3 linked regions of the Saccharomyces cerevisiae S288C genome follow. The gene in region 1 interacts genetically with each later gene. Each region holds a gene or a part of one and is shown on either strand. Other genes may lie near its edges. The genes, in order: SSH4, SHR3 and EAR1.

Region 1 (4,061 bases):
CATCTAAACTATCGAATTGAAGAAAAAAAAGCTAGTAGGAATGTATATATTGTGTATGCGTAAATTGTAAAAAAAACCAAATTCATAATGTCTCTTATTTTCTCGATCTGTTCTTCTTTTTAGAAGATTTGCCTCTGTTTCTTTGACGTTTTTTAGTAGATTTATTTCTAGGGTTCTTATTGATAGCTCCATCTGATACTTCACGGGGGGTATTTGAATTTTCCGGTCTTTTATTGCCATCATCTTCCAATAATGGCGAATTTTCATTGCAACCAGCGTTCTCATCGTTGTTATTAACATTGTTATCGGTGTTGTTATCGTCGGTTTCAAGACTGTCGTGGTAAACATTATTTTCTCTGTCAAAGTTAGAAGAGATTCTTTCATACGTCCCAACAGACCACAGGGGCTTACTAGTTTGCGCCGTTATCCTAGAGGATGACCCTTCTTTTACCTTCATACTACCAAAGAAATTATCAGTGTCAGCATATCTTGGTGGCAATTCTTCTCCTTTCTGTAAAATAGTATCCTTCTTGATCTCGGTTCCATTATACGCAGGAGGAATTCCAATTTGGCCATAAACACTCCCAAACGCATATTTTTTCACATTGGCTTCTATAAAGACGAACCCAACTTGGCCCAAATTAACATGTAATTCAACCTCATCTGACGTCATTTCATCACTTTCATCATGTGGATCGTGAACTCTTTGAAGATCTTTGGCGACTTCAATATCTTTGCCTTCAGAGAGAGCTTCACGGAAGCTAACATTATCCGGGTCTTCCAATAGACCATCCCTCGTATATGTTCTTGTATATGCGGCATTAAACGCGCCAATTCCAATGAAAAGATCAATGCCAATATTTTGTGTTACATCCATTAATTTTTTCCCATTATGTGTAATGAAGATTGTACCTGTTTTATATCTGTAACCGAATCCTACCGTGTCACCTTCTTCCAATTTTGGTAATAATGTGCTGGCAGTGAAGGGGTTATTTATCCTCAGTTTACCTGTGGATTCGTATGCAATGGAGTATTTGGCCATGCCCGGTACCCTGAAATAAGGATATGGTACAGTAGTCAAACCTATACTGAATATACTATTGGACTTTTGAATATGTCTGAAAATTTTAACTTCGAAATACACTGCGTCCTTCCTATTGTGAGGTAGGGGATAGTTCATTACAGTGGATGAGCTCTTATTGAACTTTGAAAATTGAATATCTAGTTTATCCTGGACAATAAAACTGGGTAGAAAGTTTCCATATTCGTCTATATTATCATTAATGCTTGGTAGCAAAAAATAGCTTTGAATGCCACGATCCTTAATAAACTGCTGGTCGTCACTGTCCAAATACGTGCCAAAGTCCTTCACCATTGGCGGGCTCATCATTTGAAACTCTTTCGCTCTTATATACAACTCAACCTCGTACGCTGACATCTTTGGTAATTCTTCAAGTTCTCTTTCCTGAAGAACGATCTCATCATCAAACCCGCCAGGGGATGCAAAACTCGAATCCAACAAGATGCCACTATGTTTTTTACCAAACAAAGAGTGCAGAGTTCCTGAAGTTCGTGTACCTAAGGCGTTCTCTTCGTCGTATTCTGATTCATCATCACCACAAAAGGTGACATATGCCGCTATTACTACCAAGATGAGCATTAATATTGCAAACGTAATAGAAAGACTTATTAAGAAAGCCAAACTAATTGCTGCAGAATCTGAATCCATAGGGGGAGTTGGTACCATGTTAGGGTCACCTACTTTGAAGTCATGATTCGGACTCTCTAGATTACCAAAAGAACTATCCAAAGCCTCATTAAAAGTGACATACATTGCTCTTGTATACCTTCAAGTTTTTTTCTTCTTCCTAGTTACAAATAAAATAGATGAAAAAAGAGCTATTACTGCTTGTTCTGTTTATTTCGATTAATAATACCCACTATTGACTTTACTGAATATAAATATGTGCCAAGTAATCTAAGTACAAGCTGTTCGGATAGCTGAGATTTTGACTCAGGAACCCCTCCCCACAGAAACTCTTTAATAAGTAGACCTGCGAATGTAAAGCGCGCACGTAGTAAGTGACGAGAACAAACAAGCGTTCTAAAATGCAAAATATCGTGAAGAGTACACTGTGGAAAATAAAAATACTAAGTTTCTATAGTATCTAGAAATCTAAAAAATGTGTTAAATGCATTTATGCTATATATCCTCATTTCAACTATTAATGGGGTGACTACAGTGTATCATTAGTTTGTGACGGGCATGTCTCGAAGATACCTATGAAAAAAGACCTTAGTCATCCGACCCATCACTTTCATATTCCCCGCTTGCTTCACTCCACTCTATGTAGTATTCCTTCATTAAAATTTTATAGTTTTTCAGAAACAAAGGATCATATGGGAAGTAACTCTGTAAGTCAATAAATTGTTGTCGAGTGGCTAAAGACCAAGAAGACGATGTGGTATTTGCTTGTGCGGAATTTTCCTTCTTGTCGCTATCAGCTTTGCCGATGATTCCCCTCAATCTTTCATTGTTGTTATTTTCAATTATGCTGAAACAGTACGCGACGCTTTCTTGTTGGGCAATACGAGCAAACATCAACATGACATTTTCATTACAAAACTTTAATGGGTTAAATTTTGAAATGACCATTCTTTGAAAGAATTTGTCCAGTTCACACTCCCAGTTACCATCTGTATCTCTGAAGATGTTATGTCTGAAACAGAAAATGTAACAAAGTGCTTGAAATGCTGCATAGAAATGTTTAAACCTTTCCATACCTCCACGTTGATCAACTTCTTCTTCTCTTTCGATAACGTATCTATTCAACCAGGACGTTAAATAGCTTGCAACGAAAATAATTTGAGTTCTGGATAGTTTCTTGGCCCTCGCAATGTACGACCCCAAATATTGTAATGACTTAATTTTCTTCTCTGCTGCTTCGTTGACGGCAAACGAAATATCTATCAGTGTCACTAAAAATGAATCCATTAGTTCTAATTGTTGTTGTGAAACATGGAACATGATATATTGAATCGACCTGGTATAGTACGTGGGTAGAACATGCGTTTTAAATAATGTTGTTAGAGTGTTGAAGACTCCTACGCCTTCACCGCTTTCTAAACTCTCCGGCGTCACTTGCTCTTCCACATGCGTGCTTACCAAAGTTAAGATAGAGTCCAATTTGGTGGAAAGTTCTTTGATTCCCTGCGTCAACTCCACATTATATTCTTCAGTACCGTCCATACCTTCAATGATGTCCATATCTTCACTATCACTTTGACTACCGTCGGCTGCTCCAGACCTTAACTCTTCATTACTGTTCCCACAATTTTCATCATCATCGTCTCCTGAATCATCATCTAAATCGTCGTCATCCTCTAGATCAACTTCCTCTAGATCATCGTCATCTACATCATCATCTAATTCATCTAATTCATTTTGTAACTCGACATCAATCGAAATAATCTTTTCTATCAGTAAGGACCAAATTTGGAATCCTAGCTCAGAGCAGTAGCCTCTCAATTTCAGCAAATTTGAAGTGTAATTAACCAACTTTCTCCGAGTATCATTTTTATTTGGGAAAAATTTGGCCAAATATGTATCTATGAATCCCATCGAGGAGGGAATCATCCTTAAGAAATATTTAAGCATATCATGATGACACACTGTCTGTTTGATTGGTAAAATAAAACAAGATACCAGTATCATCGAAACGTCTTGCCACCATTTGGGTATACTCGAGCAAAGGATTTTGATGAAATATATATATTTACTTAGAGTGTGTGGAGGCAATTCCCACCACTTCTCAAAGTTTATGATAGATTGTATGAGGAAAGTTCCCCTGGAGGATTCTATCCTGTTGATATTACTAGATAAGATATCCAAAAGAATATTGAGATTCTTATCATTAATTCTTTCAGGATTCTTGCTCGGAAGCGCTACTTGATTGGCAATTATGCCGATCTGGGTTGAATCATTCTTATCCAGATCATCTAGGGCAGATTTCACGAACCTGCTATACATGGCCGCTGAAAACACTTCATCTTTTATCTCC
Region 2 (5,141 bases), on another chromosome or scaffold:
TTTTTACATCCTCAAAAGGCGCGAGGCATCTTGATAATTCTTTCTATTGCGATACTTCGCCATGCTACTAAATGTAACGTCTTCGCAATACATAAGCACACCTCAATCCAGAAGTCTGAGTGAAATTGACACGTCAGAAACCGCCAGCTTATCATCAGCTACAGACCACATTTTTGCATTATCCACTGAGGTTGTATCCTCAATTACGACGAACCTCATTGAGGGTTTAGAAAGTTCGATTCAGGTCCCCATATCAACCGCATATGGTACGACTTCCTTCCGCAACAACACTTCAAGTCCACAATATCTGGTTAGCAATTGCACTTCCTCTGTTCAAAGCAATATCACTATCGATAGAGGACTGTTAAGTACATTGAAGACTTTCACTACTTCACAGGTGCCAACCATAGAGCCTTCGACGACTAAACTAACAACACCATTATCTACAACATTTACCTCAACCTCTACATCGGAAATATACTCCGTATTCACCAGCGAGAACTCAGTTTATATCATCTATGACCAAGAATACAAATTTACAGAGCGATCGACAACATTTAACACCCACTTTCCCCAAACAACTGTGCTTCAAGAATCAAATCCTCCGTTAACTTTCACCATTCCATCCAATACCATTACCGGGGATGCTAAACTTTATCAATATCTATCTGGTGCACTAAACACTCAAGATACCTCAGATGCCAATAATAGAAGGACCGGAGTTATTGTCGGTTCTACGGTTGGAGTTGTCATTGGAGTTGTAATAGTAATTTTTATCGGATTCATAATTATTAGAAACAGACGAAACGTGAAAAATCACAGCAAAAAGGGCTTTAGCCATGATATTGGCAAGAGGGTAAGTTGTGATGAGGTAACAGAAACAGAAGCACCGTCAAATCCGTTCCTAAATGTCCTTAATTATAAAGTAACAACCAACGGCGAGGGCAAACGAGATTCCTTTGAAAATGGTAGAGATTTACACAGAGCTAGTTCCTCAGACGGTATATATATAGCACATCCTTATTATGGGATGGCGGATCACGAATCCGGGAGATTTTCATACGTATCGTCATACAATGAATCTGCGGAGTCATCCATTGAAGAAACAAGTTCCAGTGCGTCTACTATTACTCGGCCAAATATTCAGCAAACCAATAGCTTTTTGAGAGAAATTATTTAAAAATAGAAAAAAGTGGATTCCAAGATTTTCGTACTTCTAAACAAGGCTGGTACTTGTTGCTATTTCTTTGGAATTATTTGTAAATTTATGCACGAAGCAGATAGAGTTTTATTTATTCAACAGTATTTATATAATAAATATTGATCTTACTATACAACTAGATTCGTATAATCGTCTGTTTCGTCACAGACGGGAAAAGAGGGACAAAAAGAGAAAATGTTAAAAATATTATGGCCTATTTTTTGGCGTTCTTCCTCTTTTGAGCACCTTTAGATTTGTTATCATTCTTTTTCGCATTGTCAACTTTCTCAGTCTTTTTACCGGCATTGGCAGCTTCTCTTTCTTCTTGAGCATAAAACTCCTTTAATCTTTTTTGCAAATCCCAGTTACTGTACCACAAACCAATTTGTAGGATGATAACACCGGCAAACATAACTAATAAAATTATGTTGGAGGAAGCAATAACTGCCAAACCCTGATTTTCCGTAACTTCTCCCCAATTATGGCTCACAGAACAGTCGATACCTGTTTTCACATTAGTGAGAAACACACAGATAGCCAACACGTACAACCCCAATGAACAATACTCAAACATCTGCAGTTCAGGGTTTGGCTTGAAAACCTTAATTGTACCACCAACTAAGCCAATACCGGCAACAACGCACAAAGTAACAATCACCGGCAATGGAGTCTCATGTAAAATTTGGTAATGTCTCAGTGCCAAATCGAAATGCTCTTGAGTAGAGTTAGGATTAAATAAAAGATGATAATCGTATGGCATGTTACTGAAGAAAACACCCATTAGGAACGTTGTGGCCGATAAGATCATGGCCGTACCGATAGAACAGAAATCTGAATATGAGAACATCGTTAGAGTTTTATCGTATCACGGGATTTTATGCTCTGTAGTCCAATGAATTTACGGCTGTCTTCCAAAATACTTAAATCTGTCCTTTCATCAACTTTTTATATTTTTCAGAGTTTTTACACAACCCGAAAAAATTGTTATCGTGTATTAATTTTAGTACATTATAAAAAAAGATGGAGAGGGAAAGAGCCACCAATTACATTGGCGAAAGGTGATGGTGTAAAGTAACGGCAACCAAAAACAATTATGGATGGAAAACTTGGTATGAGAGTACTATTATTACGAACTCCACATTAACTCGATTCACCAAGTCCTTTCCCCATACGTTTACCCGGCATTCCTGAAAATTTTCTAAGATTTTTTTCTTCTTAATCGATGAGCTTAAAAGGTTTTCTGAGAAAATGAGAAAGTAATCTAATGTAGAGGACAGGATAGAGATTGAAGACGTCTACAGCTAAAATGGGGTCCGAGGAAGATAAAAAGTTGACCAAGAAGCAGCTCAAAGCTCAGCAGTTTAGAAAAAGTAAGGAGGAAAAAGATCAAGAGAAAGACGTAAAAAAAGAGCAAGCACCAGAAGGAAAAAGACCCAACAGTGCAGCCGGAAATGATGGTGAAGAACCCGTGAAGAAAAAAAGAAAAACACGTAGAGGCCGTGGTGGTAAGGGCAAAAATGGTAAAAAGGGCAACAGATTTATTGTCTTTGTCGGTAGCTTACCTAGAGACATCACTGCTGTTGAATTGCAAAACCATTTTAAAAATAGTTCACCCGACCAGATCCGCCTCAGAGCTGACAAAGGTATTGCATTTTTGGAATTCGATGCTGACAAAGATCGCACCGGCATTCAAAGACGTATGGACATTGCCTTATTACAACATGGGACCTTACTGAAAGAGAAGAAGATCAATGTCGAGCTAACTGTTGGCGGAGGTGGTAACAGTCAAGAGCGTCTAGAAAAATTGAAAAACAAAAACATCAAGTTGGATGAAGAACGTAAAGAGAGGTTGACAAAGATGATTAACGACGGCAACCAAAAGAAAATCGCCAAAACTACCGCCACTGCAGCTCAAACCTCTGGAACAGACAACAAGCCTGTTCCTGCAGGAATTCATCCTGATAGAGCCAAACTACTTAAATGAGTACAAATTTAATTTTATACGCCATGTATCTTAGACAAAAAGAAAATAAAGGGAAAAACATAAATAATCGTGCAGAATCATGCTACTGCCAAAAAAAGAAATGGCAAAGATGCCCAATACGTAAACTCTTCCGGAAGCAATAGCGCCGCATTATTACCGCTGCTCTATTTCACTTTATCATGAAAGACGAGACGGCTGGTACTTTTTTTTCCCCAAATCGGAGCTACTTTTCCGCACTTCAAGTCCGGTGGGAATTTTTACTACTACCCCTTAATCAATGCACTCCCCCCGCAATGACGTACAGGGGTAACATGTCTAACATTTAAGGTTACGGCTGTTAGCATATTGGGGGTTATTTGAATTATAGGAACGCCAAGAAAAAGGACAGAGGGTAAAAACATTCTCGGTGCTGCCGGATTGCTTATTAAGACGTATCCGTTAAACAATCTCCGCTTTTTTTTTTGTCTAACAGCCGGCTCTCTTTGGCTAGTCTCCATCCCTTCGTCACCTTCGGCTGTGGTCACACAATAAGGAAAGGTGCAAAAAAAAAAAATAAATACGAAAATCTGGAAATTGAATTCTTTTCATTAACATTCATTCACTCACTGAACTTATTGTCAATCGGAACATATTTCCTTGCCTTTATGAATTTTTGAAAAGAAAAAAGTTAATAGGAAAAACTAGATAGATTGCAAAAACGTTCACAATAGCGTACGTAATCCTTTTACTTATCATACGGAGTGATGTCGTTGTCTAGAATCCTGCGATATAATCAGAGAAATAACAAAACTACAGCTTCCTTGACTGCAGAACACGCCTATTCCGATAATTGGGCATATTCCGTCTCGTTAGGCGATCCCACTAGTGTTGGTGTGAATATGGCTGCTAAGACGGGTGAGGCGCTAAATAAATCATATGATTCCGTTTTTTCTTCTCTCCCTGTTGCAGATAGTGTACCTCGGACAGACTTTACTGCATCTTCCCGGGATGATGAAAACACGGACGTGCAAAAGCTGACCACTTCCTGGATGGAGAAAATTGACACGAAGATGCCCGAAAACATATCTAAAATCGACTCTAATATTATTTCCTCTCCCATGGTCAGTAAGGTTGAAGCAAGATTTATTGTTCCTAAAGGAAGATTGAGGAAAAATTCTACCGATTTTACGTCATCTTTCTCAAACTCGTTAAGTTTACCCAAAAGTTATGGCAAATTAATTTTCTTTACATCAAAGAAAAACAGCAGTAGTACCAAAAAAAATCTAGCGAATGATATCAGTGATAACAAGCATAACAACAATTCTTCTAATACTATCGGTCACAATATTCCAGTCACGACAGCCACGGCGACATGTGATGAGATTGCATGCACCTCCACAGAACATGAATATAATGTTTATGAGGAAGAGAGGATGTTCACTACTCGTGTATATTCTCTAGAAGATTCGGTCTCTTCACTGTCCACGAATCCTCTCGACGACACGTATTCAGAAGCAGTGCAAGTAAATACAAGACATATCGAGGACACTGAAAGCACGGCCCATATAAGAAAACACTCCTATACTACGTCATTGTCAAGTATCAAAAGGCTCTTCAAAATAACGTCTTTTAGCAATAACAACAGTAACTCATGCGATCACCAGGAAAGCACAGTTGCAGATGATTGCGCTATATCATCATCATTGAAGGAAACAACTTCTTCGCCAGTCTCAACTGGATCATTCTCTCTCATGATCGAGAATGAAGACAGCGATAGAGATCAGATTATTCAGGCTTTATATAGTAATATTGAAGCATCCACTGACTTGGTTTCCAGGAAATATAGAGATCTCGACGTTGTTCTCGGCGAAGGTTCTGGTGGTAAAGTGAAACTGGTCCAAAGGGTCCTGGATAATAAAGTTTTTGCATTAAAGGAATACAGGTCAAAGAAAAAAAGGGAATCTGAGAGAAAATACA
Region 3 (5,886 bases), on another chromosome or scaffold:
CCAGGAACGATATTGACAACACCAGGTGGAAAACCTGCTTTTTTAATTAAAGTAGCAAAATAAAGTAGAGATAGAGAGGTATTCTCAGCAGGTTTGATGATAACCGTGTTACCGGCTGCTAAGGCACCTTGCAATTTCCAACAAGCCATAGCTAGAGGATAATTCCATGGAACGATTTGAGCAACAACGCCAAAAGGAACTTTTAGAGTATATGCAAACTTGTTAAAAGTCAATGGTATGGTTGCACCTTTGTCAAACTTATCAGCGGACCCAGCAAAATATCTGGTAAGCTGTAAAATTTGTGCCAAATCACCTTTGGCATTTGAATGGTAAGGCTTTCCAGCGTCTAAAGTCTCTAATGCGGCAAGTGTGTCTTGCTCCTCCTCAATAAGTTTTAATAAGTTTGAAAGATAAATACCACGTTGCTCAGAAGATGTCTTCGACCAAACGTTATCAAAAGCAGCCCTGGCAGCTTTCACAGCTTTGTCTACATCCTTTTCGTTAGCTGCTTGGAAGGATGTTATCGGTTCGCCAGTAGCTGGGTTCACAGTTTCGATGGTCTTTCCATCTGATGATGGACAAAACTCATTGTTGATAAACAACCCTAGCGGTTGCTTTAAAGAGATTTTCAATTGTGGGATTTCGATATCAGTATACAAGGTAGGCATTTTTCTTTTGGCTTATTTTCACGATTGTTTTTGATGGACATGCAATGTAAAAATGATAGGAATGGGCCAAAAGTATTTTTAAGGATTCGCTCCCTTTATATGAACATTCTTGAGCAAAATTCGGGATATGATCAGTGAGTGTCGACAAGATTGCATCCCTAATGTTTAAACGAGTTAAAAAAACTCATCATTGGATAGGAGTAACCAATAAAGGGTATATGATTGCTATTATTAGTATCCAAAAGCCGCCGGGAACATCATAGGGCGTTAGCAAGTAAACGCATGGCACGATAATGGCAACCTTGTTTCTTCTGGCGGCAAAAGATAAGGCAATGCAAAATAAAAAACGAGAAAAAAAAAATGATAGAAGGGAAAGATAAGCAAATTTTCTTTCGAGCTGGAACGCTTCATTTTAATCTCACGCATTTGCAACCCATGCTGATGTCTGAAGCGCTGACAAATACTTCATACGTTCTTCTTGTGACACATTAAGAGGTAGCACGGAGGTGCAAGTAAAGATGGCAAAAGTACGGAAAGTAAGAAGGAAGTTTGCGGGTCAACCAGTTGCCCTTACTAGTGTACGTAAACATATGTATATATGTATGTAAATATCTATATGCTGCACTGCGATATCGAGTAGGTGATAGCGTTGAAACCCTCAATAAGGAAGAAAACGTTATAAATTGCAATGTTTTTAAAAAATGGTGGCTCTGCGTAATACAGCGCAAAAAAAGATAACTGACCGGGGCTAGTGTTTCAGCCTTACTATCTCATGCATTTTCGTATTATATGCCATGCATCCTGCTTTCGTAATCATCAAATTCTGAAAATTGTTCGGGATCTCTCTCGTGATCATTTTCATCTTCGTTATCATTATCAACACTATCGAAAGATGCTTCATCAGTAATTAAATTTCTGCTCGTTCCAATAATTCGTCCGCTTATTGCTGATTTATCATTTTTCGAATGATGTTCATCGTCCGAGTAACTTGGTGGTAGCATAGGTAAGGAATCTAGATTAATTTCCTCATTGATGATCTTCTTTCCAGTGGGAGGGGACATAGTGAATTCAAATCCAGGTGGTGGCGGTAATATTTCACCGTTTCTTATAATTATATCATCATTGAGATTTGTAGTACTACCAGCCGCAATATTGTCGCTATCACCGTCTGAAAAATCTTCGTCGAAATCATTGTCTTCACCACCGCTTTCTAATAGGGTATCTTTACCGTAGTCTTCGTAAGAAGGAGGAGGTAATTTAATGCCGTTTGACTTTGCGTATCCCCATTTTTTAACGTTTGCTTCTATATAAACAAAGCCATAAGTGCCGAAATTCACATGAATTTGACAAGGTACGTTGGAGCCAATGATCGGGTATAGGTATTGGAATTTCCAGCCGCGGATATGACCACCAACAGATTTTTCATTTAGTTTTTTTCCGTTCCTGGTGAAAAATACTGTTCCACTACGTGACCTATAGCCAATGCCAACAATGTCTCCCTTTTCACACTGTGGAAATAACGTTCTTAATTGCTCATTTAGTTTGAAGGAGTCATTAAATCTTCTGGCGCCGTTAGAATCGTATGCTATCGAATGGTGGTGTCTTCCCGGTAACCTGAAATATGGATAAGGCTGTGTGGAAAGACCAAATGAGATGACACCTTTCGATACATTTTCATCACTGTTTAGTGGGCCATCCGTTTCAAATATCTTGAATTCACAATAATATACTTTATTTATACACGGAATGGGTAGATTTGTGGATATAGAAGCATCATAATTATAATTTAGAAAAGAAACCTCTGTTTTATTTTCCACTATGACAGTATGGTTTGGCATATCAGGATTTGGGCTAAACTCCCATGCATAAGCCCCCTCTTCTTGAATATATTGCCTTGTTTGCTCGTTCATAATAGGGTCTTCACGGGTGGTGTCTGGATTGCTATCTTCGGACTGTTGTAAAAGTCCCTGGTTAAGCAGAAATGGTGGGTTCTGCTTGATATACTCCTCACCTTGCTTATAATAAAACTGCTCTTCAGGTGACAACTGTGCCAGCTTATCTCTTACTTCATCAGCATCGTCAAGATTGTTGGGCCACCTTAAACTCATGTTTTCCATTAATCTTCTGCTATGAACGTGTGCATTATTTTCGTCATAATCGCTGAATAAAGATATTCTTTGGCCAGGGCCATGCTCATTATAATATGCAGTTATAAGCCGCGTAGCTATCTGTTTTGTAAAAAAATAAACGATACAGATGACGATGTAGACCACGATTAAGGTTCCAAACGCAAACAACATTATATCCATGTTAAGTTCGTCAGTATCGTCTCCCCCATAAGATACATCGCCACGGGGGATCACCGAAGATCTACCACACCGTATTTGTCCGCTTATCGAACCGAGAAGCAGCGATTCTATCAGAAACTTGAATGACATTTGCTTTTTTATATAGAAAAAAAATTTGGCTCTCCAAACTTTAAGATTTTTTATAATTATTAACCAATGACAATATAGATAACTTGAAACAACTCTTGAAAATTTTGTAGTTAGGCACCAGTCCTTTGGTTTTTCAATGTTCTATAAAAAATCACTCCTCCATGCAGCAGTAAAGCGCTATTCTCAAAAATAGCTCAACCTGAGAGAGGAAGAAAGAGCAGTAGTAAATAGAGCAAGGTTCTTAAAGCCTGTATCAATGAAATTTTGTTATGGCGTTTATATGGATAACCTGGAATTTGCCTTTTTTCTTTATAGCGCACCGTTCCGAAGAAAAAAATAAAAAAAAAGGGCCGACGGAGGGTTAGGTCAAATTAAATATTGAGCTAGGTTTAGTTATCTCTTTTTTAGGTTTTTTATATACAAAAAAGATTATATTTAGGGTACATATGGCTGGAGCATAATGTCTGGAATGGGTATTGCGATTCTTTGCATCGTACGTACAAAGATTTATAGGATAACCATCAGCTTCGATTATTCTACACTGATGAGCCCTTTCTTCTTATTCTTAATGATGCCCACTACATTAAAGGATGGGTACAGGATGAATAGTCAAGTAAATGAAGATGCTATAGGTATCAATCTTGACCTCTCACTGCCCACTCACATTTCGCCTACGACTGGTTCAGAGAGCGCCAGTGGCAGTAACGCCAGTACACTTCGCAACGATGGAAATGCACTAGATGGAGGTCTTTTGAGGACTTCAGCAGCGATTTCAGCACCCACAGGTACCAGTCAACCAACAGAAACTATTGGTGAAAAACTGAGTAATGAAGAGCGGGTGAACTCGAATGTTTCCGCTTCGAACTCGACAACGGCGGGTACAGGGCGTATGTTAAGCCAATCCTTGACTAATGATTCACCGTCGAACGAAATATCGACGGATCAGTTGAAGATTTTTCAAAGAATGGACGAAATGAGTGCCCGAATGATTGAGATGGAGGAAAGCTTCAACAAGTTATCTAATAAGATCGCGGAACAGAATACAATGGTTTTAAACCTAAAACAAGATAACTATAAAGTTATGAACAAATTGAATATATTACTTAAGTTGGTTGCGCAGCCAAGCGCGCGCCCAAGCACAAACAATGCCCAAAATAAGCTTGCTATCGAATTGCTAAATTCGATATCAGCCGTTAGTAGTGCTTACTTGCAGAAAATGCAGAATAATGGCTCTGGTAGACAGCATACTGCTGATTTATGTACAGGAGATTCCAACACCCATTCTGGTATCAACCAGCATCGGACTACGAATGGAACCATAGATGTGAATACGAATACTGCACAGCTAAACAACCAATTTTCTAACGCACTAAATACTATCTTACCTGATCAGCAGCATAATCGAAATAATGTTTCCCAAAATATAAACCAATCGCTCCCTAACCGACAACTTGGTCCTGTTATAAACACACAAGCCAATCAGAACCAGTCGCAGGTTTTAATTCATAACACAAATACACATCAGCAGGTAAATCGCTCGCCTATTAGTTTCCCGAACGCTTCAACTGACAAGCCATTCAAGTTGAACCCAAATGGGATTAAACGGCGCAGAAGAAATACGCAAAGTAACAACAATGCGAGCACAAATGACCATGCTAGTGCTGCACAAAAGCCCATATCAGCCCTATCTCCATTAACGAATTCTCATAATTCTACAACTAGCATGAATTATACCAATTCTTCCATTCATTCAGGCGTCACCAGTGCTTCAAATTCATTTCATGACTTAAATTCATTGAATAACTTTGGCACGACAACAGCTTTAAGTTTGCCCAGCTTAGCCCTAGATAACGCTTCTTTTCCCCCAAATCAAAATGTTATACCCCCTATTATAAATAATACCCAGCAGCCTCTATCATTTTCCCAATTGATCAATCAGGATAGCACGACATCTGAATTGTTACCGAGTGGTAAGTCAGGGGTGAACACGAATATTGTAAATAGAAACAGAGCTTCTACTCTACCGTCGTACCCAAAACCAATGACAGTGAAAAGTAATGTCGACGATGATGGCTATCAAGAGGATGATGATGATGACGGTGATGACGAAGGTGATGGAAGGGATAATGAAGAAGACAGCACTGCTGAGGAAGATGAAGTAGATGATGAAATCGAAACAGATATGAAGAACGCTTCGATTAACAAGCGGAGGAGGAGCTTGCATCATAAAAAAAGTAACTCTTTAAACGGTAGAAGAAAGCTTCACGGCGAGTCGGCTACTAAGCCCAACATAAACTCTGATTTACATTATAGGATATTGAAGGCTCCCACTGACGTAAAGACTATATGGGAAGAGTATGATACTGGAATAAGAGGAAAGCCATCGATCAAGCATCTTGAGGCCAAGTATGGTAACAAGTGGAGGCTCAATAAAAATAAGAAGACCTTTTCAAGGCGAAAAAGATTGTACAAGTTCATTCTGAACGGTATGGAGAGAGGTAAAACGGCACAAGAGATGATAGAAACCTTAGAGAACAAAAGGCTATATAAAGATGATGAGGATGGCGAAGTAAAGAAAAGAACCATTGGCTGGTTGCAAGAGAGCCTTGCTGGAATATAGGCACGTACGATAGTAAATAATCGTTTACAATCATAGGAAGGAAGGAAAAAACAAGTGTAACATAAATACATTCTGTAAATCTACAAAAATCGTTAGTGCTGTTTTCTTTTTGAGATTGAAAAGTACGAATCATACACATCTCTTATTCTGAGAAGGGTGC

Evidence for each region.
Region 2: of SSH4 (region 1) and SHR3, extra expression of one rescues a mutant of the other (dosage rescue), as found in Saccharomyces cerevisiae (2 studies listed by BioGRID).
Region 3: of SSH4 (region 1) and EAR1, changing one enhances a phenotype caused by changing the other (phenotypic enhancement), as found in Saccharomyces cerevisiae (one study listed by BioGRID).

What each region holds. Positions count from the first base shown.
Region 1 is NC_001143.9:208,366-212,426, reverse strand, and holds SSH4 (Ssh4p), read right to left. Parts: upstream 1,835-4,061; coding exon 95-1,834; downstream 1-94. Other genes in the region: RRN3 (rDNA-binding RNA polymerase I transcriptional factor), read right to left, coding at 2,297-4,061. UniProt on the Saccharomyces cerevisiae protein: Components of the endosome-vacuole trafficking pathway that regulates nutrient transport. May be involved in processes which determine whether plasma membrane proteins are degraded or routed to the plasma membrane.
Region 2 is NC_001136.10:75,333-80,473, reverse strand, and holds SHR3 (Shr3p), read right to left. Parts: upstream 2,049-5,141; coding exon 1,416-2,048; downstream 1-1,415. Other genes in the region: YDL211C (uncharacterized protein), read left to right, coding at 62-1,180; NOP6 (Nop6p), read left to right, coding at 2,508-3,185; serine/threonine protein kinase PRR2, read left to right, coding at 3,929-5,141.
Region 3 is NC_001145.3:602,415-608,300, forward strand, and holds EAR1 (Ear1p), read right to left. Parts: upstream 3,107-5,886; coding exon 1,454-3,106; downstream 1-1,453. Other genes in the region: aldehyde dehydrogenase (NAD(+)) ALD2, read right to left, coding at 1-668; HOT1 (Hot1p), read left to right, coding at 3,567-5,726.